Rhinolophus ferrumequinum: one gene and its partners. The protein of the gene in region 1 purifies or fractionates together with the protein of each later gene. This does not show direct contact. Links are inferred from orthologs where the notes say so. Each region holds a gene or a part of one and is shown in the gene's direction. Other genes may lie near its edges. The genes, in order: POP4, RPP25, RPP38 and POP1.

Region 1 (7,622 bases):
CAAAGGACGTTTGTCACATGAAACTCATGAGCCCATGCCACTGCATCGCTGCCGGATGGTGCATTATTTCCTCTGAAGGTATGACTGTCTCTTTCCCTGGTAATAACAAGGCCACTGAGCAGAAAATCATTTCATAGTAAAAGAAAAAACAAGGGGACCTCAAAAAGCAAGCAAAGCGGACAGGAGTGGAAATCCATTCCGCACCTTCCCAGAAGGAGCCCCGCCTGTAACAGGCCACATGCACCCACAAATCCTGGCTCCTCTCCTTCCACCTCGTGGACAGGCCATCAATTTCTGAATGTCATCCACACTCACACCTCTTCCCCAGGCTCCCATAATTTCTCTCTCCTTTTAACCTCTATCTTATTAAACCACTTGACTCTGTTAACTGTTCTGTCTGGCAGGGAAGGTATTGATCAAAATCGAGTTACACTGTTTATAGAGAAATAACCCAGCTCCTGGATGGCCATGGTTTTCAGTACCAAGGCCTGAGAGTCTTTGAAGTGGCTGGTAAACCAGATTTTTGACAGGCTTGGAAGGCAATTACTCCAGACTCTGGAAGAAGCGTCCGGCCACTGATTCAGTCCTTGTGTTAGGCTGCCACCTCGTGACAGACTCAGATATCCTGCCTTGACTGCGGACAGCTTTTATGTCTAACACTCCAAGACCTCCCCGGAAAGAAAAAGTAAACCAATAAATAACAAATGCCAATGTAAGCTGACATAGTCCAAATGGCGGAATTAATATTAATGCCAGCTCTTTTGGGGGAATCAAGGAACCTCATTACATAGGAAAACAGGTTTCATAGCAGACTCGACCCTTGTCAAAAATCCGAAGTGTGGCCTGTCATTGGCACCCCAGCCACCTCTGCCCTTACTTCTTCCACCACTCGCCCAACCCACCCCCACCCTGTGTCAGATGGACGGCGGCCCCCCTCCTGGCTCCTATGGGGAAAGTGTGGGGGCGTCCTTTCCAAAAGCAAAGGCCTCCAGGTGTGTGTTAGAGACGCATGCTCCTTCCATACTCCATGGGTCCTCGGAGTCCCCCATTGAGCCCAAAGACCTGAGAGAAACACAGGAGCCACTCCAAGCTTACAAGGAGCGCTGCGGCCCACCCCAGGGCCTGAGCGCTCTGCAGACCAGCGCTGGGTAAACAGGCCAGTCCTCCTGTTACCACACTGACAGGCAAAAGGAACCTCACAAATGAGGATGGACGTGGGTCCTGAGAAGATGGAAAACGGGAACCAACCCGGCCGTGGAGCTATTCCCCAGCTGGTAACCTCCACAGGCCAGTTCTTCAGGTTCCTGAAGCCCCTGTGAGGGCTCCCAGCCACAGGAAGTGGCCACCAGGACCCGAGCACACAAAGCACGCTTCCCAGGACTTGTCCCTGCAGCAGCGGGCAGTGCAGGGGCTACAAGGGGGCCTGACACAGTCCCCATGCTCCCTTCATTTAACAAGCAAGACACAGGGGCCCAGAGAGGCCTCGGGGCTCGAGGGAAACAGTATTTATCACATGATTAAAAAGGAAGGGTGTGTGTGCTCTGGGCACATATTCTCAGTAGGTATGAAAATGTTAAGTCTGAACATGGAGGCACCTACCATCACAGGAAACAGAAAAAGTCTTTTCCAGCTCTAGAATTTCCATGTGTCTGCTGAAATTCCTCATCTTTTTACCCATTTTGTCCATCTTTTCCACTAAGTCATTTGACGTATTTATAATAGTATGTTAAAGGCCTTGTCTTCCAGTTAAAACGTGGGTCATCAATGGTCCTGTTCTAGTGACCATTTCTGGTCTGGATTATGGGTCACAGTTCCTGCTTCTTTGTGTGTCATACGTACTGGTTTTTAAATCTTAACCTGGATGTTGCAGGTGACAGAACAGAAGAGCGTGGGAAGGCTGAGAGGTGTCTCCATCTTTTCCTGTTGGGCATACCTTTTCCTGTTGGGCAGCGATGCCGAGGGCCTGACTTTTTCCCTGAATTATATTTTTCAATATGCTCAAGTCCCCATCTGGCTTCAAATATCTTGAAGGGGAGGTCTGTTCCCTACCTCCGGAGGGGCTTTGGGAGTCAAACATCATAAAACCAGGTCTCTGCTTTCCAGCCCTGTCCTAATGGCAGTGTGGGGTGATTTTCTGTCAGCTTGGTTCTCCCTCCCACTTTCCCATATTTGGGGCCATCATGGACTCAGACCTATGCAAACACACAGCAGCATGCACGCCTGCCCCATGCAGCCTGCATTGACTTCCCTGCAAAACCTTCCAGGGCCTCAGGAACGACATCCAGGGAAGATCTCTTACAACCCCCAAAAGCCTCCATCCAGTTCATTAAGACACCCTGTCATGAAACTCAAACCAAGCTTTCCTCAGTTGAGTTCAGCTCAGAGTAAAACTTCATCAGGAAACTGGAAGCATCTATGACAGTTGAGTTTTTAGACACTTGGGATCAAGACAGCCTTGAAGAGTGACTTTTGGGGGTTGAAAGACTGAGAAACCTGGATTTCAGAAACTGGTATTTGGTCACACATGCCAAGTGTCCTAGCCCCTGCTGTTCAAAATTCCAAATGGTTCTTAAACTAATTTAGAACACAGTGCTGTCTCGTGACCAGAAGGGATTGCTACGTTGTCCCCCTGTAAGCATCGGTCCTTTCTTGTAGCCAGAGCACCCAGTGACCCAGCAGGACAGGGCTGGCCTGGCAGGAATATCCCATGTTAGCACGGGCACCTTACAGCCTGGTCCCTTCACTCGCTGTCAGAATGGGCAGTCTCCTGTGGCACTATTGAGCTTGAGGAATGACTGCTGGGGCCCCCGTGTGCAGTCCCCCACCACCACCACTCCCAGTTCCCCTTCTCAATACACCACATCTGGACAATCATCAGATCAAAGGCAAAGCAGGGCCAGGGAAGTTCGTAACACTGAGCCTCAGGGACTGTTTCAGCTTTGTGAGAATGCAGACAACGATGGCTAGCATCTCTCAAACCATGTCTGTGCCAGCCCTGTTTTAACATGGGCGTCATATCACTGAGTGCTCCACACCACCCTAGGAAGCAGGTACTGTTGTCAATCCCATGGCACAAACAAGGCCTTCCTGTCTAAAACAGCAGAACAGGGCTCATCCCTCTCAAACACACCAGGTTTAACCACTTCACAAAAACACAAAAGAAAGAAAAAATTCTGTATGTATATACATACGAACATATACAAGATGTAATCAAAACACACTGTGACTGCTGCTGCTGAGTGCCATCCAACGGAAAGGCAGAGATCTTCAACACAGGAAGCGGCGCGTCGAACCTTAGTAACGGTGTGTGTGACAAGTTTCAACTTGTTGGTGCAGTCAGTCGGGTGTGAGCTACGGTTGAGAGAAGGTGTGTTTTAAAGTGTGCCGTAAATCATGGATCACAAACAACACATTAACATGAGATGGGCAAAGAGTTTCATCCGCCATCATGACAACGTTCCATGTCACACATCGCTTCGGATATGGCGACTTCTGTCCAATAAAAACATTACGGTGTGTCCTCATCCACCTTATTCACTGGATCAGGCACCATGTGACTTCTGGCTCTTCCCCAAAGTCAAGAGGACCATGAAAGGTAAACGTTATGAATCGATTCAGAACATGGAAGCAGCCAGGACAGCGTAACTAAAGACACTCACAAAAGAGGACTTCCAGGACCCCTTCAGAAAGTGGCAAGAATGATGGGATAAGTGTGTTCGAAAGGAGGGGGAGTATTTTGAGGGGGTTAATAGCAATGTGTCTTTTACTGTAATAATTTTTTTTAAACATTCACTGTAGTTTTTGATCACCCCTTGTATATACACGTGTGTGCATGTGTATGCATATGTATGTGTATATACATATATTTTATCAAATTATATTTTATGTTATATATAAAATAATACACCGACTTTTTTAACTTGGAGGATTACAACTTTCACCGAAAACAAAGCCTTCCATGTTCTCATTACAGATTTGCTGGTGCTTCTTCAGGATCATTACCATTTCTTCTACTTAAACTCTACTAGAAGGGTCCTAATTTTCATAGATGCCCGCTTGTTTAATAGTTGAGGCTTAATCTTTTGGGGCTTGTACATGACACTTCTCTTAGAGTACTCAACCTCCCGGCCTGAATGTCTTAAAGCAGCAATCAGAGGAAACCTGTACAATTACGGCAAAACGTTAATTGTACAATCGAATGGCGCACAGGTGTTCACTGTAAAATTCTTCTCCTTTCCTGTATAGTTCAAGATTTTCACAATAAATTGTTGGGGGGGGGGGGGCAGACTCATCTGCAATGATACCATCAAAACTCGACTTCCCCTGGAAATTTCACAAAAAAACCACTAGTGGGAAAACATCTGCGTGCATGTTTGAAAGCTTATCATTCAGAGCTATACAAAAAAAGAAAGGATCAAGCATCCCACACGCCCTAACCGCAGCCCTGCGGCTTCTAGCCTTCCCCCGCCCACAAAACACACAGGCTAGCCCCGCTCCGAGGGACAGACGAGCGCGGGAGCGGCCATACCTGCGCCAGCCGCCGAGGCCGCTCCCGCGCGCCGGCGCCACTCTAGGTCGGCGCGCGTCGGTGACGTCACGGCGGCGCCGTCCTCGCGTTCCGCGCGCCTGCGACCCCCGCTCTGCGTCCGAGCGGGCAGCCTGTCGACTTAGCGTGGCGCGCGAGCTCGGGTGCCCGGAACCTGTCCACCCGCGGCTGTGACGAGAGAGGCTGCGGGGGCCGAGCGCTGCTGAAGGAGCCGGAAGGTACCGCTGAGCGGCGCCTGACGCAGGCGTCATCAGAGCGCGCCGGAAGCGGTCCGAGGATGAAGAGTAAGGGGTCGAGGGCCGCAGCGGCGGAGGGGTGGGACGGGAAGGGTCGGGCTTGGTGCTGGCGGGTGAGAAGGAGCGCTGCGGAGTCCTACGGGAACCTCACTTCGGTGAAACGGGCCCGGGGCCCGGATAGCCTGACCCCGCCTCCGCGCAGGGTGGATGGCAGAGCTGGAGGCCGGTTCTCTGGGGGCTGCTCAGTGGGGTCTGAAGCTAGAGGAGGGCCCAAGGCCTTGGCCCGATGTGGCCGCTTCCTCCCTGGGTGACCGAGGTCCCCTTCTGTAAAGTACAGTTACTGATAATGGTGCCTTGGCACCTGCTGCTCTGTGAACGACCCTTGTTTGGTGTAGAGCTCTGGGCGCTTGCTGGGCAGTGATACCACTAACGCAAAGCTTCGGGAGCGGAGCGGAGCGAGCACCCAGGGCAGTCACAGGCAGGGGAGCGGAAACACCGTTACAACGGGGCTTTGGGTCAGGACTTTGAGTTCCGCCTCTGCGGGTTCCTACCTGTGTCAACTTAATAATAACTGTGTTAAAGGATTGTTCAGAAAGTGTAATGAGATGAAATATGTGTGGCTTTCAGTGAGTTTCGTGGCAAGTAGTGAGGGCTCAATACCATTAGATGTGTACTGTTACAAAAGCCTCCCAAGTCTAAAGCTAGGCACCTGTGACAGGTGAGGCAAAGTCCTTCCTGGGGCTCCAGGCCCTGTAAGTTGCTCTCCCCATCACAAGGGAGAACTCAACTCCAGACATCAAACTTGCAGCCACTTGGTTTGCTTCATCACATGTTCTCAGGGAAGCACAAGGGAGCTGGGATGAAATTTACAGAGTGTAGTGTGAACCAAATTTTCTATTCTTCTGTCCCTTAAACCAGGCCTTTCTCTCATTCTTACTCTGTTCAGACCCATAGTCTGTCCTCAGTGCCCTAGTTTTCTTCTTCAGACAAATTAAGTAAAAAAGAGGAGTGTGGAAGTTTGTAGAAGTTGAAACCACATCAATGATTGATATACTTTGATCTTGAAGAAAGACCTGTATTTTCTCAGTTTAGGGCACCACTTGTAGGGTACATCCCAAGTTCATAGATAGTAAAATGTGAAAAATCTTTTTTAAACATCTTACACGTAACAAAATGTAATATTGCCAACCACCTGCATCCTGGAAAGCCCTATCATATAACTTTTAGATGAGTTACTTTATTAGACTAATTGAGCAACTTCCCAGGTTTCTAAACTACGGTATTTTAAACCACTGCGACTCCAGATGTGGCCCGCTGACCCACAGTGACATGGAGAACTTGCTAGGAATGCAGGGTGTGGCAGTGGGGCCAAGAATCCACTTTTTCCTAAGAACCCAGAGATTCTTACACACCTTGCTGTTTGAGAAGCCCTGTTTTAAAGCACCCCCTTGGGAGTTCCACGATGGACATGGCCAGAGAGTAGGAGAAGAGGCATCCAAGGGAGTTTTGAAACTGCTCTTTACACCGTGCCATCTTCTCCTATCTCTGAAGAAGCATAATTATTTTCGTAGTTAAAAGCCTCTTGGCTCTTATAGCCGTACCCAACAGGAGTCATTCCGTGTTTGTGCTCTTCACTCCCCCAGGTGCGATCTACCATGCCTTTTCTCAGAAAGAGGCGGAAGAGTTTGATGTTCAGGTAAGGTGGGAGGAAGTCCACCCGGTGGCTTCTAGCCTTTAGTGCTGCTTTAGGTGTCCTTTTCCAGGTCTTACTCCTCACCTTTCCAGTAGCCGTGTTAGGTTCCCTCGAGCTCTGTTATTCTGTTGGCCTGTTTCATATGCTGGCCTCCTTTCCCATCGTGCCAAAGTCAAGCTTGGTTAACTAGGACTTCCTGACCTTGTGTCATCACCCACTATGTAGGGGACGCCAGGCTATGCCCACCTGAAACCTGCGCCTGTGAGCACTGTCATTTGACGTTGTCACTGTGTCCCCTTCACCCTTGAAGAGGGCAGGCAAATCACATTTCATAAGTGGAATTTATGGAGTATACCTGGATGCTGCAAACATGATTTGTCAGTTTGGCACACGCTCCACTGGTGACTCATGATGAGGGAGATACCTCAAAATCAAGATTTTGAAAGACGGATATACTTTTTTTGGCTTCTCCATGAAGGAGGGCCCACAGTCAAATAATTGTTCCCTTACAGAGATAATAGTGATGATTTTTAGTTAGCATCCAAGGTACCAAGCTGAAGCCACGTGCCCTCCCCCCGGTGAGCTCCTTATGTGCATCACACCTTCATTCCCCGCCCCCCTGAGGGGAGGGCTTGATGACTACAGACACAGGAGCCTCGGGGGGTTTGCAGCCTGTGGCCCAGTGCAACAGGGGCCCAGGAAATGGTCCCGCCGAGACACCAGTGGGTGGTGCTCCCTGGGCTGTGGCAGACCCGGGCAGCCGCTCCTGAATGAGGGACAGATTGGAGGTCTCCAGCTCGAGAGGCGGCGATGCTTGGAGTTCCTTCAAGAATTATACACGATTATGACGGTTTGCCCAGAAGTCCTCTCTGAGAGCCACGGTCACATGACACTGTGCTGTATGTACAAGAGAGTGAGCACGGGCGTGGGGGCAGGGCCTGAGGGGTGCTGACAGTTCCTTTCCCCAAGTGATGTGGGAACAGGCTTGGAGAGTAGCCACGATTCATCCACAGAACTGGAAACCCAAGTAAAGGGGATTGCAACGTGGGCACAGTGACAAAACCCCTACCCCGGGGGCTGGGCCCACCCCAGAGAAGGTGGTGTGCCGTTTTCCCGAGTGTGAGGATCATTCCCTTCAAGGCCATAG
Region 2 (6,864 bases), on another chromosome or scaffold:
TCTGTGACGGTTGATGGAACAGGTTGTTGTCCTGACTCGGTCAAGCATGTTAAGCAATTTCCATACCGAGTGGCGTTCACATACTAGTACTGTGATTACCCCCTCCTTTACCCTGTGTAATTCTTTGGTGCCTGCCAAGCTGCTGGAGAATCCAATTCTCTTGCAGCCGCCCAAGACATGCCTCGTGTCTAAGTTTCCCTTAATAAACACCATTAATTACCAACTGGAGTGCTGTGACTCTTTCTTCGGTCTTTTCCCTGCCCTCCACTTACAGAAGCATATTTTCAGCCTCAGGTCTTTTCCCTGGGTCTGTCTATAGGAAGAGTCCTCTTCCCGCCATTGGAGACAGAGGAGAAGGAGACCTATCTTGTGCCACGGATTTTTCTCCCAGTCTTGGGGTGAGAAGAGACTTGTCCATGAGAAGCAAGATGTACTATTGGAAAGGTGCATAAGCCTGGCCAATGCAGAGCAGGGGCTGGTGCCCCAGTAGCCAGGCCTGTCACCACCTCCCCTTAGGGTGAAAGGAGTCTGATTTGCCACTCCTTAGTCCCTAACATATTGGGAAAACTGCAATTTCTAATTTCCTTTCCAATTTCCAATTTGCTCATTTCCTTTCCTTTTCACCAGCTTTCTTTCCCCTTCATCCCCCTTTTTAAATTTTTTAAATTTATCTTAAACACACATAATATATGAAAACTATTAGCCAGCATTTTCTGAGAACTTACTAGCTAATGTTCTAAGACTGTTAGGTGTCTCACAATCACTTTATGAGGCAGGTTCCTATGTTAGCACCATTTTACAGCTTAGAAAACTAAGGAATAGAGGTAAAGTAAACGCTCAAGGTCACAGAGGCAAAAGAAGCTAATGAAGCTCAGGCTTCAAGGTGAGTACCTCACTGACACGGGCAGTCCCAAGGCTCTGGGCTGAATTTTGTATTCATAGTTAGTAATTTAGCAGTTCTTTTCTTAAAGAGGCCCACAAAAACTGGAAGCGGCCTTAGAGGTAACAGATGTCGTATGCCGTCTTCTTGCAGATATTTAAAAAATACATTTACATCTACGCACATACACACACACACACACACACACGGAAATATCTCCCCCTTTAAAAATACCTGTGGTCCCACAGTGTGTACAGCTAGCACCCGACTCTTTTAACAGAAAGTCTTGACTCTCCACGGTTCTAACCGTCGAGGAGTGTCGGCCAAAGAAGCTCCAATTTATCAACCAACCTTCCCAGAGCTGAGCCTCCACTCCCCTCCGGACCGCGACCGCCCCTTCCCCCGGGTTCCTCCCCGCGTACTCTCCCTTCCTCCCGCTCCTCATCGCCGTTTCCTCCCTCACATCTTTGCTACGTCTATAACGCCCCCATTCCAGGCTGCTCCCTCCGCATTTCTCCTTTCCTTGCCCTGGCCCTGCGCTTCCGCGCCAACCCCGTTTCCTGCCCGGCGTGGCCCCTCTGCAGCCCCCGCTTCCTCTCGGCGGACCTCACTACTCTTACTTACGCAGCGTCGCCCCCACGCTTCTCGGATCCCTCCGACCCCCTCTTCCCAGCCCTGCCACTCGGCGGCCCCGCTGGAGCGCACAGCCGGCGGGCTACGACGCGCGCTGACAGGGTAATGAATGGCTTCAGCGGTAATTAGAGACCCAGCGGCTAATCATGGTGTACATTTACATTTTAAGTGCTGCAGAGGGAGCGAGGAAGGGGAGGGGACAGGGAGGAGGGAGTGCGGGCCTTTTCGGCGCTCTCCCTTCAAGGACCCCGGAGCGAAGTGAATCCAAGTCCTGTACAGCTGACGGCAGGCGCGGGGCGGGAGGAGGGTGAGGGGAGCCCCGCCTTCCCGGGCCAGACCAGGCGGCGCCGCATCCTCACCCTTTGCAAAACCAGAGCTCACAGGCCCTTTCTTCCAAACTGCAGACTCCTGCCTTCATGCCCCTCCACACACCCAAGGGAACGTTCTGCCTTGGTTTATATACCCCGCGGATGAAGAGCTTGCTTTTTCCCTAAACAACCCGATCCAAGGTTCTGTGTTTCCCGGAAAATAAGAGCTAGCCTGACAATCAACTCTAATGCGTCTTTTGGAGCAAAAATTAATATAAGACCCGGTATATTATATTATGTTATATGATACTATGTTATATTGTATTATACCGGGTCTTATAGCAAAATACGGTTGGGTATTATATTATATTATATTATACCGGTCTTATAGTAAAATAAGACCTGGTCTTATATTAATTTTTGCTCCAAAAGACACATTAGAGGTGATGGTCCGGCTAGGTCTTATTTTCCGGGAAACAAGATAGCTTCCGGCTGTTCAGGGACTTTCTCAGGCCTAGCCAAACTGCCGCCTTTTAAGTCCCACAACTTCCCTGGCCTTACAGAGTGTGGGGTCCCCTGCGCCCCCCCCCTCAAGCGCTGCAGTCTTTGTGTCTTCTCAAGGCTGCTGTGCCTCCGGCTTCTATGGCTGTTCCTCGTGGGGCCCGCGGGAGCTCACGCGGGGCCCAAGTCCAGATTCAGAGCAGAACGCGACCGGAGGGCCCCTCATCCCAGCGAGCGACCAGGGGATCGGGGGAGGTCCGTCACTCAAACGTTGGGACGCAAAGGTCCACCTGCTCCAGCCACTCCCAAAGAGCGGTAATGGGGTTAGCCCGGATTTCTGAACAGCAAAGGCCGAGAGCTAGGAGTTACAGGATGCCGAGGAGGCGATAGCAGCCTTGAAAAGGGAGAGGAGGACTCCGGCAGCTCCATCTTAAGACTGGGGCCCAGCTTCCCCAGACATTGTCGTGCCCCCAACACTTTCAGGGTTGCCCTCCACTAGCTCTTCGTGCGCCACTCCGCCACGTTCCGTCTTAGGCACCCCACCCGGATCAAGTCTGCCCCACTCTCTCAGTTCTGACTGTGAGGTGCGTGAGATGGGTGGAAGGATAAAGGCGCTGGGGCCGTTCTAGGAAGGGTCCCGCTCCTGCAAACCCCTGCCTGCCTTCAGCAGTCCTCGCCTCTTGGCTTCACTGTTCATCTCTCCTGGCAGGAGACCTGGGGCCACTCTCTCTCGGTCCAGCGGAGTTCCCGGAGAGGGGCACCCAATAGCTTCATAATGCCACCAAAGCTTCAACTTCCCATCTTCCTCCCTTTTCTCTTTTAAAATCTGTCTTCGCCCAGTCTCCTTTTTGGAAAAGGACCCCAGAGGTCTCGGGGCCAAAGCTGACTGACAGCGAACCACTTGGGAAGAAGGGGGATTCACGTCAGCAGGGAAACATGCCTGGCTTATCCTAAGGCCTGCAGCTCTAATAGTAGACTTTCAGGCAGGGGTGGAAGGAGCTTAACCCCCCTTGAAAAGGGATCTCCTTGTTCTCTTCCCATTCATCCCAGGGAACAGTTTGGCCAAGAGCCTCACTGCCTACTCCCCAGGGGTGTCCCGGTGTCCGGTAACCTCCAAAGCAGTCAGGCGCGGCTAGGCTGAGACCTCAGCCTCCGGCTGCCCCGTGAGGACCACGCCGCGACGTAGTCATCCGAGGGCAGGCACGGAGTAGGGCCGGAGACAGCGCCTTCCGCACTTGCTGACCGTGCACAGGCTGTCCTTGAGCCAAGAATACTGGCTCAGGAGCGGAAGCGACAGAGTTGGGGGGGTCCCCAAAGGAGTGGGGGAAAGAGGCCCTGCAGGCCGCTTGTAAGTCTCTCCGTGGGAGGGGAGAAGAGGCTGTCTTCAATTGGAACGCACGCGGAAGGGCTTGGGGACCCTGCTTGAAGCGGCGTTTGCAACGCAAACACAGTTTTTATTTAGCTTGCCCGTTTATAAGGGTTGGCTCGGGGAGGGCTGATGACGATTATAGGGGAACTTCGCCTACCAAGTCACCCTCTGGCGCTGCCGTTGCGCACCAGGATGCGCGCTGCTCCTACGCCCCTATAGCAGAGGATCTGACCGGATTCCTAGAGGCGGGTGAGGCTGGGGCGGAGGCGAGAGGACCGAGTTAGGGGCGGGGCCTGAAGGTAGGGGCGGGGCTCCCAGGCTCCCAGGCCGGGCCTCCGCTAAAGGCGCGGAGCATCCGGCGCCGAGAGCGCAGAATAGAGCAGCGATCCCTGGAGAGAAGTGGGAAGCAACGATCGCGCCGTCGCAGCCAGCCCGCCAGCGTCCGAGCCGCTCCCGCACCCTTACCCCTGCCGGCCTTTACCCAGTCGACCAGCGGCCATGCAGCTCCGAGGCTGAGGCGACCCCATGGCGAAGCCCGCGTCCCCGCGGTCCGGGCAACGACGGCGCATGGAGAACTTCCGTAAGGTGCGCTCGGAGGAGGCGCCGGGGGGTGGTGGGGCGGAGGGGGGCGGCCCGGGCTCCGGCCCCTTCGCGGACCTGGCGCCCGGCGCTGTACACATGAGGGTCAAGGAGGGCAGCAAAATCCGGAACCTGCTGGCCTTCGCCACCGCCAGCATGGCGCAGCCAGCCACTCGCGCCATCGTATTCAGCGGCTGCGGTCGGGCCACCACCAAGACCGTCACGTGCGCCGAGATCCTGAAGCGCCGCCTGGCTGGCCTGCACCAAGTCACCCGGCTGCGCTACCGGAGCGTGCGCGAGGTGTGGCAGAGCCTCCCGCCAGGGCCCACGCCGGAGCAGAAGCCCAGTGAGCCGGCCGCCAGCCTCAGTGTACTTAAGAACGTGCCCAGCCTCGCCATCCTACTTTCCAAAGATGCACTGGATCCGCATCAACCTGGCTACCAGCCCCCGAGCCCCCATCCTGACTCTTCATCTCAGCCAACCGCGCCAACGCCCAAGAGGAGCTTAAGGGAACCCGCTGCTGGAGAAGGCTCCGCGAAGCGGTCACAACTCGAGCCAGGTGCTGCGGAAGAGAATCAGACGACCTGAACACTCCCGGCCCTGGGCCACCAGACGGGCTGGATCTTAGCCCCAGCGCCTCCACCTTGAGACGTACCTCCAGCCGTTCACACCTCGGTCAGCCGGAGCTCACAGCCTGCTCTCAACTCCTCAGACTGGTTTCGTGGACCCCACACCACAAGAGAGGGACCCAAGGAAGCTTCGTGGGGCGGTTGCTCCTCCACTTGTGTTGCCTGAAAGCAACCTTCATCTTTTCTGAGCCATACTGGGATCCTCTTCAGGGAGGGAATTCCGGGCAGTGGGACTCTTGAGCCTTACTCAGGACCCCGAACGGTTAGAGACACCCAGCATTCATGAGGAGGAGTGTGGAAGCCAAAGGGAGCTCTTGGAATTACCCCCACCAGCGGAGAGCAAGGGGTGAGAAACTGGTAGGGGAGTTTGTGTTGTGGGGAGCCCCATTCTGCCCCTCACCCCAAGACATTTACCTTTGTAGTTTTCCTTCCCCTGCTTTTAAGGAACATCCTGAGATTATGGTGGCCAGGCATCGCCCCTGGCTCTAGCTCTTGTAACATCCCCCCCTCCCCATGCTGGCCCAGAGGGACAGACCCAGGACAGAACTCTCCATGCCTCCTCCCTTGAGCCCCACAGCTGGAGTCTTGCTTCCAATAAAACAAACACAAAAATGGCTCTGTCCCAGGTTTTTTCCTAACCACTTGCCGGGCAAAGACAGCTCTGGCCTGCCCCCTTGTGTCTCAGTCCCCTCCAGCCTGGGATTCTTAGCCTTTGGAGTCTTCAGGGTCAGGCACAGACTGGACAGTTTCAAAATGGTGTGAGAAGCACAGTGTTCAGTCCCTGGCTTCTCCCTCTCTCTCCAGCCTTCCCTGACTGCCTCTGGCCTCGGGCTTGTGGGTGGAAGGAGGCCTGTCTCCCCCTGTGCATCACCAGTAAGGAAAAGGGAGCAGCACATTGCTTTTCTAGGAGAGAAAGGAAGAAGAGCATGGATGAACTCCCCCGGGAGGTCATTGCCAAGAGTGGCAGAACCTACTGGGGTCCCTAAACCTGCAGCCTCCTGCCAATAGACTGAGCTTTGTCTAGAAGACCAGCACAAAGCCCCTCATCCCATGGGTAGGATCTCCTCTTCACTGCTCCTCTCTCTAAGAAAGGACAGCACACCCTTGGGAGAGGGGGCGGAGAGAGATGAGCACAAATCCATTGCTGGAAATTACTATTCAGCAGAGAAGCTGGGACTTGGGCTGTGAATCCCTGCAGGCTCCCTGATAAGCTGCTGCCTCCAGCCCTGCACAGCTGTCTGCTGAGAGATAACGGCCTCATAAGCCTTTCTGCCCAACTCCAACTCAGCTGGGGGAGGAGGAAGTGCTGTGTGCTGGAAGAACTCCAGCAAGTAAAGGGGGGGGCACATAGCCCCATGACCTCAGAAGCACACCTCACCCCATGCAACAAAACAGCACCCTGGAAAGGAGGAGATGGGGACTTACATTACACAAACGTAAGTCACTTTGCTGGCAGAACCCTGAAATAAATCCTTCTGCTGGTGATAAGAGGTACGTTTCTGCAGCTGACAGAAGTTGTCCCTCCCCCATGTCTCTGCTTGAGCTTTGGGTCAGGGAGGCCTCCCCTCCAGACTGGCACTGGTTGCCCTCCCAATTTATTGTTCTTGATGAGTCCCTGGGGAAGGCTGGTTGACTCTTTCAGGTGGCCAAATAAGGGTGGAAAGAATATAAATTATCCTAACGACCAAGGAGCCCTGGGTTGGTTCTGGGCTTCCTCATCTAAAAGAAACAAAACTTAGAAGAGGTAGAAGCTTAAGAGAGATTGGTCCTGGTTCTGGAAAAGGGCCAATGCTCCGAGACCACCAGTGTCTGAAGTCCTGACTGGGCAGTCACAAGGACTCTGCAAGCAGAGGCTTTCTCTCCGATGACTTGGGTCAGGTAAGTCCCCTTCTGGCCTGGAATCTCCCGGGGCGTGGAGAAAAGGGGGGCTTTTTGCTGCCCTACCTTCAGAATGTTACCTGTCCC
Region 3 (7,473 bases), on another chromosome or scaffold:
ATTCTCTGTTCTTGGCTCGCTCCCTGATTGTTTCTCAAGAGGTTGTTTGCAGGAAATCCAGAGAGGTCTCCCCAGGGCGCGGACCTCACTCGGGATTCCTTTTTTTGTATATACCTCTGTTCTCTCAGTAATTTCTAGAAACCTGGACGGTTGACAGCGTTTGTTCAGCCCTCTCCCGTCCCCCCACCTGTCTCTAAGCACAGTTCATCAGGAATGAAAAAGGCCGGTATTTTGCATCTTTTCTCCTCTTTATAAAGCAAAAACACTGACATTCTGAAGACATGCTGCAAACACCCTAACTACGTAGTTTTCGGTTATGGGCAAGACCTAGGACTACACACCTATTCAGTCTGACCCCATTCTCCAGGGAGCAAACCCAAAGTCACTCCAAGTCTGCAGACACAGAGTGGGGTCCTGATTCGCATTTGATTAAAATTTCAAAGTCTTGGCTGCCGTCCGACTGGAGTCTTGGTGGAATGAATGCCTTGCGATTCCTCCTGGAGGAAGGCCTCCCTGTCTCGGGGGAGACTCCCACAAGGTGTTTCTCCTCCACTTTCCTAGTTTCAGCGGAGACGAGGGCTTTTCACATTGCCCTCTCTTCTCACCCCCCCCAACCCTCCATCCCCTTACGGCCCAGCTGCCGGCTTCTGTGTTGTCTCTGAAACTGCTTGGCTGAGGTCAATGCAGTGTGACCCACGGCTCATAAACCCACGGTTATCTGACGTCTGTGATAGGGACATTATGCTGATCTTCCTTTTGCTGTCTTGTAAGTATAACAAATGGTCTGAATCCAGTTAGGTTCTTTTTGTCCTTACCGACCTTACGCATGGACGGGTGGCACTGCCACCATGCCGTCGCCTACGGGTTGCCTAACTGCTTGAAAGGCGTCACCTGTATACTGCTTCTTTGCAGTATTATATAGTCCTACCTAGCAGAGCTTCCAACAGCACAGGCTCAGAGGCTGTTCTTTGATTTTGTAGCTCATCATTAAAGTTTATTCTTAGTGACTGATTTAAAATAACTGATTACTACTTGTATAACAATTGTTGTTATATATAAGAACAATCAAACTGTGGTGGTGAATTTTATGTGTCAGCTTGACGGACTGTGGGATACCCAGATTAAACATTATTTCTGAGTGTTTCTGGATAAAATTAGCAGTTGAATCAGTGGACTCAGTAGAGTAGATCGTCCTCCCCAGTGTGCGTGGGCATCATCCAGTCCATGCAGAGCCTGCATAGAAAAGGCAGAGGAAGGAGAAAGCTGTCCCCTTTTCTCCCTGCCTCACTGGTTGAGCAGGGCCATCCCATCTCATCTTCTACCACCCTCGAACTGAGAATTATATCACCTACCCTTTCCTCTCAGGCCTTCGGGATGAGACTGAAACTATACTACCAGCTTTCCTGGGTCTCTAGCTTGTGACAGCAGATTGTGGGACTTCTCAGCCTCCATAATCACATGAGCCAATTCCTCATAATTATCTGTATATATGATATATATATATGTATATATACGAGGTCTGACAATTAAGTTCACGAACTTGTTGCACCGATGTTGCTAACCTTTTTTGATATCAGAGAGATTATTCATCATCAATTTGTACCAACTGGACAGTCAACCAAGTTTATTATTTGGAAGTGCTGAAAAGGCTGAGTGAAAAAGTTAGATGACCTGAACTTTTCGCCAACAATTCATGGCTCTTGCATCACGACAATGCACCTGCTCACATGGCACTGTCTGTGAGAGAGTTTTTAGCCAGTAAATAAATAACTGTATTGGAACACCCTCCCTACTCACCTGATCTGGCCCCCAATGACTTCTTTTTTTACCCAAAGATAAAGGAAGTATTGAAAGAAAGGCATTTTGATGACATTCAGGACATCAAGGGTAATATGATGACATCTCTGATGGCCATACCAGAAAGAATTCCAAAATTGCTTTGAAGGGTGGATTAGGCGCTGGCATCGGTGCATAACTCCCCAAGGGGAGTACTTCGAAGGTGACCGTAGTGATATTCAGCAGTGAGGTACATAGCACTTTTTTCTAGGATGAGTTCGCGAACTTAATTGTCAGATCTCATATGTCTACATACTTCCCACTGGTTCAGCTTCTCTGGAGAATTCTGAATTCTAACTAATACACACACAGCAAAGATTACAATTCCATAGAAAGAAAGAAGAATCTGTCAGTGAATTGTCTTATATTCTTCTATTGTTTTATTGGCAAACTTCCTTGTTGGGCCTTTCATTTAGTTCATCAAAGGACTGTGGCTAATGACATAACTTATCACCAAGTATCTTAAACCACTCTTACATCATGGCAAGCATATAAATCTAACAGCAGTCCAATTCTAGAATTAATATGAAAAGAAAGCTTTGTTATTCAAAGACCAAATTGAGTTTTACATGGTAAAATTACTGTTAAGAGCTATCATTAAAAAGTAAAGCTCATCATTCAGTATAGGATCCCAAATATATGGGTTTAAGTGATAAGTTGAAGACTATGCTTGAGAAACATGGAAAAATGTTATATGGAACAGAAATCAGAACACAGAATTTAATGTATATTATTATTTTAACAATGCAAACGCACACATAAATGTGCGTTTATGTGTGCAAAATGCATACAAATTAGGACACTGAAAGGAAATGTGTTTTGAGGTAATTTTCTCTTTATTTTTTTAATTTTCCATTTTAACCATTTTTCTTACATTTTATTGGGGAATATTGGCGGACAGTGTGTTTCTCTAGGGCCCATCAGGTCCAAGTTGTTGTCCTTCAATCTAGTTGTGGAGGGTGCAGATCACTGGCCCATGTGGGAATCGAACCAGCAACGCTGTTGTTCAGAGCTCACGCTCTAACCAACTGAGCGTTCCAGCCGCCCCTCTATTTTTTGTTGCAATGTTTGTGTGATACAAAATAGAAAGAAATTATCTTTGAAATGCAGTTATTCATTTTAGCAAAATTCCTGTGAAAATTATACGACTAGTCTTAAACGAGAACACAAGCATTGCAATCACAGAGGCTACAGTTTATTTTTATTAACTTAGTTCTTAATTCAGGTTGTCACTAGAGTCATCACAGTTCTCATTATCAAGCACTTTCTATGTGTCAGGACTGTGCTAAGCATCTTACATAGATTATCTCTTCTAATCCTCACAACTGGTACTATTTGTATCACTTCATAGAGGGTTAATTAGAGTCACATGCCTAGTTAGTGAAAAAATTAGGGTTTCAATCTAGCCAGCCTGGCTCCAGAGCCATGGAAGGTAATGGCAGGTAATCTTCATCGAGCAAATGTAAACTGAGATGATGCTGTAACTCTCACTATACGATCTGGAACTATAAATGTGGAACTTTGAGGGGACAAAAACTGATACACATTTCCTTTTCACTATTCTAGCATTTCAACTAGACATGTGTGTCTCCATTTGTCTCACAGCTTAGAAGCTAGATCTAAGGCTACTTTAGAACTGTATGTTTACAGTTCATCACAATGAACCAATAGGATTCATTTTATTAAACAAAGCCTGCTGTTACATTCAAACGCATTGTAACTTTTTCTTTTGATCTTTCTAATTGGGATTTAAAAAATCACAGTGTACTTTCCCGTGCAACCTGCAATAACCTTTAACAAAAAGCAACACAGCTTTTTTGTTATTGTTTACTTTATAACCAGTTAGATACATGTAAGTGATGAAAATTGAAAATACAGAAACTAGACCAAACCAAAGGGGGTGGGGGACAAAACTAGCAGTGAAGAGATTGAGAAAAAGAAGATGTTGATAAAAGGAAAAGGAAGGGGGGCGCTAAGTTAGATAGGAAAAGAAAAAGAAAGGCGGTGTGTTGGGAAGAGGCTCATTGTGTCATAAGTAACCTACTGTCTTCCAAGTTCTTGCCAAATGTAAATCAACAGATTCTGATGCCTGACCTTGAAAATGTTGTTCAGCTGGTTTACAATTGTCCATGACTTCCCAGCGACTCCATTCATAACCGTTAGTCTCCATTAGTTGGTGTAGCCACAGCAGACGTTTGGAGTTTTCTGAACTGCTGTCGCAGAACTCAAAGCAGCCTTTACTCCCTCTCTTTAAAGGGGCTCAAGATTGCCTACATTGTTGACTGTAAGCATGTTTTTTTCTCCCCTCAAAGCACCCTTCAGCCCCCATTTATTTTGATTTTCACGGTGCTGGGGATTCCCGCAGGGATGCGATGGAGATGGGGTCACTGGGACGGGGGCTAGGGTTTTGCGTCCCTTTAGGCAAGCCAAATACAGAAAAGCGGGAAGGGAGAGAGGGCTAAGACTGCCAGGCGCTGAAAGGTAGAGACTGGGTCGGAAGGGAAAGGGTGACAGGTGAGAAGACCAGCCTTCAGGAGGCTACAGGCTAAAGCCGGCCCCCAGACCTGGCAGAAGAGCTAGGCAGCGGCAAGTTACCGTAGCAACGTGAGATCTCGCGAGACAGACATTGCGCCTGCGCCCTGCTGCTGTAAGGCCTCGCCCGGAGCTTCAACACCCGCTCCCAAACAGGTTTTCAAAGGTTGCTACGCTTCTCTCCCGCGCGATGCAGTGAGCCAACCTTCTCTCTTGTGAGTGAGCTAACGCAGAATGGCGAACTGTGAAGTTCCTTGAGCATTTGGAAATCGGGGCTGGGGAGGGCGAGGGCTGTGCGCACGCGCGTGGCGGTGCACGTGGAGCCGGCGCCGTGGCGATCGTGAGTGGGAATAGGGCGCCCGGGACGCAGAGGGGCAGGAGGGGCCCGCCCCTGGTGGAATGGGGGCTGGGACTCGGCGAGTGTGAAGGCTTGCGGGCGCGCAAGGTCTCCAGGGCTTCCCCAGGACCCCCGCTTCCCCGGCCGCCACCGTCCGGATGGGCGTATTTTCCTGCCTCCAGCCTTGGCTCACGCTCCTATCTCTGCCTGGAGCTGAGCGTCTTTTGATACGAGAAATACTAAAGCCCCACCCTGACCCTTCAGTACTCCACAGCCTTTAAGTGGAGACGGACCACAAAATAACGACCATCGCGTATGCTAAGTAGTAAAGTACCAAGGCACTAGATACAGGGGCGACATACAAAGGGAGGAGTTAACTCCGGGGCAGGACTGCAGCCTCTGGGAACGGGCTCTCCCCTCTACCCTCTCCCCCCCCCCCCACCGGATCCAGAAACCTGGAAGCATCTGTCACTTACCTGCTTTACTCGCAGTTGATCCCAAAGTCGGGTAGAGTTTTACCTCTTGATTATTTCAGCTAGCATGTATCTGTCCATCTCTGCGGTGACTCTGGCAGGCCACCATCATTTCTTACCTGGACTTCTGCGGGACCCCCTTTGCTGCTTCCATTCTTGGCAAAGGACCCTTCCAGGCCCGCATCCACAAAGATCTTTCTGCAATGTCTTTGTAATCATGCCACTTCTCTGCTTGAAACGTTAGTCACTTCCCCCTGCAAGGCTTGCAAGGACCTTCATCTTAGGTAGGTCTTTACCTACCTTTCCTAATATGTCACCACTCTCTGGCATCTCTACCCCAGCAACACTGAACTTACTTCATGTCCTTTAACACTATTCCCTGGATACTCTTTCCACTTCTACTTCCTTTGGTAGGCGTTCTTTAGAAGTGGATTAAAAGGTCGCTTCCTCCAGGAGGACCTGCCTGATCTCCCCACTAAGTCAAGCTTCTGTTACATGTTCCCTTAGTGTCCTGTAGTTACCTGACCTGAATGTGCACCCTAATTGTATTATATTACATACTGATACCGTGTTTCCCCGAAAATAAGACCGGGTCTTATATTAATTTTTGCTCCAAAAGACACTATAGGGCTTACGTTCAGGGGATGTCATCCTGAAAAATCATGCTAGGACGTCTTTTCTGGTTAGGCCTTATTTTTGGGGGAACACGTGTCTTGCTCATAGATTCTAAGCTCAGTGAGGCCATGACTTTTTTCTAATACTTTATGACTTGGTGCATTGTGGATAATCTAGAAATACTTGTGGGAGTAAGAAAAGTGGTTATGGGGCTGAGGGTGGGAATAGTATTCCAGGCAGAGGAAATAATGTGTATACAGACGTGGAGGTGATGCAGTGGGTGAAATGTGCATAGTGGGGCACATGAGAAAGGCTGGTGGGGACATGGGAACAGAGAAGGGTCTTGTATGTCACCTTAAAGAGTTTGCACTTGATCCTATAGGCAGTAGAGGCCTCCAATAGCTCAAAAGGCACTGCCAAGGGCTTCCTATTTTTCTCCTCCTTACCAGTCAGTACTTTGTTTTTGGACTGTAGGTCCTAAGATTCTTCTTATCCGAACTTCTTGGCTGTCCTCTCCCCCGCTAGATTCTGACAACAGGAGTTAAATGCCTACCTTGCTTTCCCTCCGAAGCACATAACTCTAAGTATCTCAGTATTTCTTCTGCGTTTGAATGCTGAGACGTTAACTGACTCGCAGTGTGGCAAGAGCTGTCAGATCCTATTTGTCTTGTCTTCCTGACCACCTCCAACCTGATCCCAGTCTCTGCCAATCACCCTTGGATTTGGATGAGCTACTTCCTGGTTCCCTGAGCTGGAGGGGAGCATGGAGATAATAAGGGTTGGGGAGGGCTGTGCAGTGGGGCTGGTGTGAAGGCTGCAGGCACCGAGTCTCTGGCAGTGGGTACTACTGAGATGGGCAAGATCTGACCTCTCACCCCAAGGAGCGCAGTTGGGGTTTTGTGTAAGAAGGTGACTTATAAGCAACACTGGAGACCAGTGGAGGTCAGGAGACCGTTTCTCAGGGCTGTCCAGCATGGAAAGGCCGCCTGTCCTACACCTGCAGATTGTTCCTAATTAGTTCGTATCAGATTGACCCAGATAGCTTTTTACAAGTCCAGATGCCACAGCCCTATTCCCAGGGATTCCAGTTGAGTAGATCCAGTGTAGGGACCAACCATCTGTATGTTTTAAAGGCCACAGGTTATTTTTGAGGTGCAGCCAGGATTGGAAGAGCATAAAATTTAGATTTGGAAACCAGCTGTGACTTTGAGCAAGGTATTTGATCTGAGTCTATTTCCTCATCCTCACATTGGGCAATTATACAGGAATTTTGAGACTCAAATAATGGAGAAAGTGCCGTATAAATTCTGACACACTCCAGACACTTGCTCGTGAACATCGGTAGCCAGCCTGGTAACCGGGAGTTTAACTGGAGAGGACTTAATTACTAATCCTGCAGTGGGGGTTTCATGGAGTGTTGGCCTCGGTGCGATAAAGGACCTGGGTGGAATAAGGGAACATCTAGAATCTGGTTACCTGAAAATAGGGACAGTTCCAAACTGCAGACTTCTCCAGGGCTGGCTTATTTAACTTCCTTGAGTGTTGCCACGTGGGTCCCTACAGTGCTTAGCTGAGCCAAGGAAGAAGATGAGGAAGAAAACTGAGGGAAGAGAAAGGGATATGCAGTTGCCTCTGGGCAGGAGAAACAGGATATACTCCCTAGACCAGTGCGTTATAAAA
Region 4 (7,674 bases), on another chromosome or scaffold:
CTATTATATTACATAAGACCGGGTCTTATATTATAGTAAAATAAGACCAGGTCTTATATTAATGTTTGCTCCAAAAGACACATTAGAGCTGATTGTCTGGCTAGGTCTTATTTTTGGGGAAACATGGTATTAGGATTTAGAAAGTTTAGGAATTCTCCCTATCTGGCTTTCACCCTGGCCCACAAATTGATTAACTATTGAGTTTGTTAATATGTAAGCTTCTCTCAGGTTGAATAGTACCATCAGCTAACACTGTTTCTATTAACTGTCCTGTGTAGAATTAGGCTGTCCTCGGCCCTTTGCAAAGTACCTTTAACTCTCCCCATATCTGGAACATAGTTTAAGCCCTTATGCATTATCATTCATCAAAAACTTTATGACAGTAAGAAGGAATTCATTTATTCTCAGAAAATTAAAAACCCTCAAATAAAATATAAAAAAAAAAAGTAAGGCCTGGACCTCTGAGACTATCGGAGCTATGTGAGTTCTCTCTCATAGATTAGCAGAGATAGTTCACAAAAACAATGATAGTTGACCCTTCCTAAGCATAAGGATCCTACTACCCATAGACAGTCATCAGGCTCTAGAACATTTAAGTGTTCTACTCCCAAGTCAAAGGGTAATAATACTTTAGAAACATCCTAGTAATAATTCTCACATCATAATCTGTGACACATGGACTATCATTTCAAAATTTTATGACCATTTAGATGGTATGCAAACAAAATGGAAAGCAATGCAATAGCAATGTGATGTCGAAATCTCTCAAGGTTCTGTTGTGAAGTATTCCTGAAATGTGTTGAACTGATTAGCTAATTAGTGACAACACCCCATCCACCCCAATGCCAGGGACTGAAAGTTCAACACATTTGAATTTTTCCTGGAAAAGACCCAGAATTTTCAAAAAGTGCACTCACTACCAACTCCATGCATAAAATCTCATTTTCCAAATGGTTGTTAAAACACGTCCAATTAACTTTATCAGGACATAACTAGTTAGGTGGAGTATGTTTTTTTCTTCATAAAATATTGAAAATTAGCACCATTTCTAGTATCATTTTTGGATACAAAAAAGCACAAGAGGCACAATATCCTGGAAAGTCTCCACACAATGAAGCTGGTTGATGGCTTTCCTCTTGTCATACGGGCATATTCATGGAATGATTCCCTTCTCTTTTGCTTGCAGCTTTATAAAGATAGTTGACTCCCAGGTCAGTCAACCAGGGGTACTACTATCCTGCTTTCTTTCTTGAACAAAGTATATACTTGAGGAAGATATATGCTCCAGGCTCTGTGATCACTTTGCTTTGTTAAGGATCACTTTTATTCTGAGGTAAAAATAATGGGTGATTGAGGGATAAGCATTAGGGCATAAGGAGGAAGAAGATTACTGATTTTTTCTTTTACTGTAATATCCCTTATCTATTCTTAATATCTTCTCCTCAAATTACTATCAGAATTCTCTTCTTAAAAGAGATCAGATCATGTCACTTCCTCTTCAAAAACATTTGATGGCTCCTCAGTGCATTCACAATAAAGTTTATACTCTTCAGTTTAGCGTTGGAAACCATCACAATTCAGACCTTGTAACAGCTAATGTTTAGCAAGAGACAAAACAAAAATTCAAATTCAAAGTCTAACTCCTAACAAGTGTTTGCCAAAGCGTAGGTCACACACAAATACAGAATATCAGTAAGGAAATGATTTCCTTTCCATTCTCTTTCTTCATCTGAAAAATGGGGACTGTAATACTAGTAACTGTGTACATAAAGCACTGAGAACAGTGCCTACTGCTGAGTAAGCCTCAATAAAGGTTAGCAATTAAGAGTTCAATCCGCTAATTACATGGAGAAAACAAGTTAAAGAAACCTATCATTTTTAAAAAAAGAGAAAGGCCTTGGGTTTTGAGCCAACTGCAGTATCTAGCTAGAATTTAATAACATTTTTTATTCTATTGAGTTTATTTTTTACTGTTACTGCCTATTGGGTTTTCTATTTAGAGTACTGTCGTAAAGTTTGCTTTTTAAATTTGTAAAAGTGAGCCATCACAAAATAAAGTGTAAAGTAAATTATAATATAGGTGGTACACAGATTTGGCAAATGAAAAAAAGAGTTTAAAAAGAAAAGAAAAAAAGAGGAAAAGTGGTACTTGGATGACTAAATGTTACTCCAGAAAATCTTTATGCCATGTTTTCTTCTAGCTCTATACCTCAAGTCATTCACTCTAATTAGAATGCCCTTCACTCCACAACTTCCTGTTGAAGTCCTGAACAAAGTACAGTTCAACCCTGAACAATGTGAGGGTTAGGGGAGCCCACCCCCTCCCAACTGCTGAGAATCCAACTTTTGACTCCCCCAAAACATAACTACAAATAGCCTACCCTTGACTGGAAGCCTTACCAACAGCATAAATGGTTAACACATTTTGTACATAATATGTATTATATACTGCATTCTTACAATCAGGTAAGCTAGTGAAAAAAATGTTATCAATAAAATCATAAGAAAAATACATTTACAGTATTTATTGAAAAAAAGCCACGTATAAGTGGACCTGTGCAGTTCAACCCATGTTGTTCAAGGGTCAACTGTAATTTAAAAATCAAACTTTACAATAGTACTGTAAATGCAAATCCAACCTTCAAAACCCACCTCAAAGACTACCTCTCACTAGGAACCTTCCTAAATCTTCTGTCCCTCTGCCCAAGGTTAGCATCAAATTCTTTCTTTTCCTCTTTTGTCACCGCTCACCCAACCTCCATGTCCCCTCAGTCCCACTGCACTTTATTTCTAACCCTACTATAATAATTACTCATCTGCCACACGTAAGTGTAGGGCTTGTTCAAATTAAGCTCTGTCACTTGCAGACTGTTTGACCTTGGACAAGTTCACTTTGAGCTTCAGTTTTCTTTTTGTAAAGTGGGGATGGGACTTAAGAGAAGTTGGTCTGTTATGGTGCTTGCTATGCAACATGCACTAAATTAAAATGTTTGTTTTTCGTTTCCCGATATGTGTGACTGTCTTTCATACTGGATTGATTCTTACACATTTTTATATCTCCTGCAGTGTTTGGCAAATAGTAGGTACTCAATACATGTTTGTCATAGTTCAAGTGTTCCAGTTGCAGAAATTTTCCAGCTGTAGTTAACAGTGAACATACTACAGACTATTTTAAAAAGGAAAATGGAAAAAAGTTACAGGATATACTTTAGTGAAGAATTAAAAATAACAAAAGTAATATTAGGAAAAAAAGTCTCCAAGAATGCATATAAGGTCCAATAATTTTAAAGCTGAGACATTTTTAAGAAAACAAAATCTAAAAAAAAAAAAAGGAATTAAACTTTCAATTTAACAGTGCTTCTGTACACAAGATAGACTTCTGGCCAGTATACCTATTTTAACTAGAGCATGTCGGGCAATCTTAGAAAATGATCTTTCTTATGATTTGTATTTTATTTTAGTAGTGTGAAATAAACATGGGCAAAGAATTCATAAATATCACAATGCATTTATATATGTGCTGTAAAATCCAGGGTCGTGGGTAGATGTGCAAGGTTTTGCTAAGCATTTCTGTGAAAAGAACTCACCTCTCCCGAGGGCACCCACATCTGTGGATAGGATTTACTCCTTTGAATTAAGACAGAATTAGACCAAACATTATGCCAAGTGAAAGAGAAGTCAAGTCACAAAGGACCACATATTGTAGGATCCATTTACTATACATTTAGAACAGGCAAATCCATAGATACCAACAGTAGATTAGTGGTTGCCAGGGGCTGGAGGAAGAGAGTGACTGCTAATGGGTATAGGGTTTCTTTTTTGGGGTGATACAAATTCTGAGATTACATACAGTGTTTCCCCGAAAATAAGACCTAGCCGGAAAATCACCTCGAATGAGTCTTTTGGAGCAAAAATTAATATAAGACCAAGTCTTATATTAATTTTTGCTCCAAAAGACACGTTAGAGCTGATTGTTCGGCTAGGTCTTATTTTTGGGGAAACACGGTAGTGGTGATGGCTGCACTACTCTGTGAGTATAGTAAAAAAGTCACTGGATTGTACACTTTAAAGGGCTGAATTTTATAGGTATGTGAATTATATCTCAATAAAGCTGTTACAAAATAAATAAATAAAAAACAGACCACGTCTAACCCCAGAAACTTTCTGGCTGACTGCGCTCCCCCGTGAGGCAGTCCACCCGGGTCGGGGCAAAGTCTCCGGGAGCGCAGGCTTTGTGTCTTAGTGGGGTTCCTAACCCACTGTGGGTCCATGGGTGCGTTGCCCCGTTTCCCGAGTTAGGTTTCCTCAAGTGTTAGATTAGGTTGGCCCAGGCCCACCCCAGCTATGATCCGGGTGGTCACTGCCGAACAGCTCACCCCACACCCGACACGCCTGGGGTCCGACCGCGCTCCCACAAGCCTAGTTACCTGTAGGGACCAATGGCCCCTGGGGCTTTCGTGGTGCTGATCACCTTTCTGATCAAGGATGACATAGCTAATCTTTTTCCTTTGAGGCCTCTTGGAGAGAACTATCCGGTACACTACCCCAGCTCGCGACTACTGGACTATCCAGAGTCCAGCAGTGCCACCAGAAACAAGACGCCGGGGCGCGTTCGCTCAGCGTTCTGGGAGTTGTAGTTTCCTTGCGGCTCTCGGCCACGTGGAGACAGCGGTCGCACTGGCGCATGCTCCCTCCAGCTCTCTCACCGTTCACGTCGTTTTGGAGACTGTGGCGGAGCCTTGTCATTCTGACCGGGAAGCCCTGGCTTCCTCCGTCGGTTCGTCAAGCAGGTAGGTCATGAGGGGATGGTGTCTGTTAGGGTCCGCGACTTTGGGGGAGTGAGTGAGTGTGTGTGTGTGTGTGTGTGTGTGTGCACGCACGCACCCTGCCCGGCGTCCGCGTACTGTCCCCCACGTCCCCACCCCCTATATCTTCTCTTCCCTCAGACCCCACTGGCTTCTTCTTCCCTTGCTGTCTGCTCCTGGGCCCCTCTTGCCGATCCCACACCTCCCTCGGCCCCTATGCTCGAGCCCTCTAAGTTTATCATTTTGTTGCATTGCCCCACCGGGCGGAGGCCGTTCTGGGAATGGGCTTTTACCTTCTCTCCTTAAACCGTAGAGGAACGAGATGGATCATTCAGGGGACCACGCTGGGATTTAGTCCTTTTCCACCTTCCCGCCCCTCCCATGTTCCCTTTTTTTGAGTACTCCTGGAGCTTTACGAGGTCTCCATGCGTTCCGCTTTGATCTGAGCAGAGCCCTAGTGTGTGGGATCTGATTTCAAAAAGGAAGATAGTGATCTTGATCCAGCAAAGGGCCCCAGGGTTGGTCACTTGGCAGCTATGCAATCGTCATGCTGTGTCAGAAGAGTGATACTTGGCTATTTTTTATTTTGTTAATTAGTACTTTGCAGGTACGCTTCACTCCCTCATTTATGCGCACATATGTACATTCAACAAATATACATTGAGCCCCTTCTTTGTGCAAGGCACTTCGCTAGGTGTTGGAGAAACAGGAGTAAAAAAGTTAGGTAGGATCCCTGTCCTGCCCTGCTTTTAAAACATAATATAAGAAAATCCTGTTTATTCTCCTCATTTTGCCCCACATACTGCTAAGGTTTTGGCTTTCCTACTTCTGCTCAAGAACTTTCGTGTTTTTTCATTATTTCATAATGTCATCTAATACAATTTTGGTGAAATATTTGCATACAAGAAATGCATATCATTTATTAAAATTACTTTTTAGTTCTTTTTTTTTAATGATTTTTTTTTATTGGGGAAGGGGAACAGGACTTTATTGGGGAACAGCGTGTACTTCCAGCACTTTTTTCCAAGTCAAGTTGTCCTTTCAATCTTAGTTGTGGAGGGTGCCATTCAGCTTCAAGTTGTTGTCCTTTCAGTCTTAGTTGTGGAGGGCACAGCTCAGCTCCAGGTCCAGTTGCCGTTGCTAGTTGCAGGGGGCACAGCCCATCATCCCTTGCGGGAGTTGAATCCAGCAACCTTGTGGTTGAGAGGATGGCACTCCAACCAACTGAGCCATCCAGGAGCTCAGTGGCAGTTCAGCTCAAGATTCCGTGTTCAATCTTAGTTGCAGGGGGCACAGCCCACCATCCCTTGCAGGACTCGAGGAATTGAACCGGCAACCTTGTGGTTGAGAGCCCACTGGCCCATGTGGGAATGGAACCGGCAGGCTTCGGAGTTAGGTGCATGGAGCTCTAACCGCCTGAGCCCCCGGCCGGCCCCGGCCCCCACTTTTTAGTTCTTTAGATTACAATTAGGGCCCATATTGTAGAGCATGCATTGATAAAATTTATACATGTCTGGTAGGTTATGTTATTAGTGAATTTCATTTAAAAATAGAAAACGGGTCTTTGAAACTATGCAGAAAAAAAGGGGGATGTTGAAAATTGAGAATTACTGAGTAAATCCATCAGGCTTTTCCAGATTATTGTCCTTTATCCTTCCTTCAAATTGAAATATTTTTGCTGTTATAAATTAAAGGTGCAGCTGGCCTCATCTCAGTAGTAGAAATGAAAACATCAATAATTTATGTTCAGTTTTCGTAAAGGTTATCATATCAGAATAGTGTGTTCTATATTTTAGTGATTCAGGTGGCTCATGTTTTACCCAAGAATTTTGATTAAATGCTTTAGTTAATTTAATTTTTTATCATGGCATAGGGATCTTATCTCATACCTCATTTTTCATTCAAAAGACTTTATGCAGTTGCCAACATTGGTATATGATTTAATTATTTGGCAGCGTAACTGGAATGTACCAGTATAGTCTCTTGCATCAATAGCATTATTTCTTCTATTGAATCAGATTTTTGATGTTAATACCATTCATGGCTCCTCTAGAGATCCCCCTGGTTATTAATCCCTGCTATATATCAATATCATGATAACATTTTGATATCACCAATCCACCTGAAATAAATAAAGATTTATTATATTGAAGAATTAAATATTGAATCACATGAATATTTATTAAATTTATTTTTGAATGGAAGTTTCCTTTCCCTGTACTAAATTTGTTAACTTTCTTCCCAGAAATGTCTAATGCAAAAGAAAGAAAACATGCTAAGAAAATGAGAAACCAGCCCACTAATGTGACTTTATCCTCTGGCTTTGTGGCTGATAGAAGTGTAAAGCACCATAATGGAGGTGGAAAACCTTTCCGAGCTCAAAAACAAGGTAAGATACACCTAATGCTCTCTCCACTCCCATTTGGAGCAAATTTCTTTCCTCAGCACCTTTTGATAGTTATTATCTAAATAGTAAATGAGCTGAGTTAAAAACAGATACAGTTGACCTTCATTATTTGGAAATTTTGTATTTGCAAATTCACCTAGTTGTAAAAGTTTATTTGTAACCCCAAAATTAATACTCATGGCACTTTGGTGGTCACTAGCAAAGTGGAGAAAAAATTCAAGTCACCCACATGGACGTTCCCAGCTGCCTTCTTGTTTCAACTTGCATACGGAGATGACCAGAGGATGGAGACAGTGGGTGGGCAGTGCAGTATAGTGCAAGAAGCTCCAGCTCTTAGTGGGGTTTGAATTCCAACTGTGGGGTGACCTCAGGCAGGTCACTTAACACTTCTGAATGTGATTTTCTCTTTTGTAAAATAAAGAAAATAGAACCTACCAGGATAAGTTGTTTTTACCATTTAAG

The links.
Region 2: the proteins of POP4 (region 1) and RPP25 purify together in Homo sapiens (affinity purification with mass spectrometry; 3 studies listed by BioGRID and IntAct, counting the BioPlex papers as one, with this or other methods). This does not show direct contact. The link is inferred for Rhinolophus ferrumequinum from reciprocal best matches to the Homo sapiens genes POP4 and RPP25.
Region 3: the proteins of POP4 (region 1) and RPP38 purify together in Homo sapiens (affinity purification with mass spectrometry; 4 studies listed by BioGRID and IntAct, counting the BioPlex papers as one, with this or other methods). This does not show direct contact. The link is inferred for Rhinolophus ferrumequinum from reciprocal best matches to the Homo sapiens genes POP4 and RPP38.
Region 4: the proteins of POP4 (region 1) and POP1 purify together in Homo sapiens (affinity purification with mass spectrometry; 5 studies listed by BioGRID and IntAct, counting the BioPlex papers as one, with this or other methods). This does not show direct contact. The link is inferred for Rhinolophus ferrumequinum from reciprocal best matches to the Homo sapiens genes POP4 and POP1.

Annotation. Positions count from the first base shown.
Region 1 is NC_046298.1:2,073,902-2,081,523, reverse strand, and holds the start of POP4 (ribonuclease P protein subunit p29), read left to right. Parts: upstream 1-4,823; coding exon 4,824-4,830; coding exon of another isoform or gene 4,831-4,918; intron 4,919-6,425; coding exon 6,426-6,478; intron 6,479-7,622. Other genes in the region: uncharacterized protein LOC117034730, read right to left, coding at 3,196-3,351, 4,529-4,918. UniProt on the Homo sapiens protein: Component of ribonuclease P, a ribonucleoprotein complex that generates mature tRNA molecules by cleaving their 5'-ends.
Region 2 is NC_046289.1:99,496,833-99,503,696, reverse strand, and holds the start of RPP25 (ribonuclease P protein subunit p25), read left to right. Parts: upstream 1-4,006; 5' UTR 4,007-4,216; coding exon 4,217-4,858; 3' UTR 4,859-5,245; intron 5,246-6,864. UniProt on the Homo sapiens protein: Component of ribonuclease P, a ribonucleoprotein complex that generates mature tRNA molecules by cleaving their 5'-ends. Also a component of the MRP ribonuclease complex, which cleaves pre-rRNA sequences.
Region 3 is NW_022680355.1:1,566,246-1,573,718, forward strand, and holds the start of RPP38 (ribonuclease P protein subunit p38), read left to right. Parts: upstream 1-4,464; 5' UTR 4,465-4,583; intron 4,584-7,473. UniProt on the Homo sapiens protein: Component of ribonuclease P, a ribonucleoprotein complex that generates mature tRNA molecules by cleaving their 5'-ends. Also a component of the MRP ribonuclease complex, which cleaves pre-rRNA sequences.
Region 4 is NC_046297.1:40,022,369-40,030,042, forward strand, and holds the start of POP1 (ribonucleases P/MRP protein subunit POP1), read left to right. Parts: upstream 1-4,673; 5' UTR 4,674-4,684; coding exon 4,685-4,790; intron 4,791-7,050; coding exon 7,051-7,194; intron 7,195-7,674. Other genes in the region: RIDA (2-iminobutanoate/2-iminopropanoate deaminase), read right to left, coding at 4,428-4,492. UniProt on the Homo sapiens protein: Component of ribonuclease P, a ribonucleoprotein complex that generates mature tRNA molecules by cleaving their 5'-ends. Also a component of the MRP ribonuclease complex, which cleaves pre-rRNA sequences.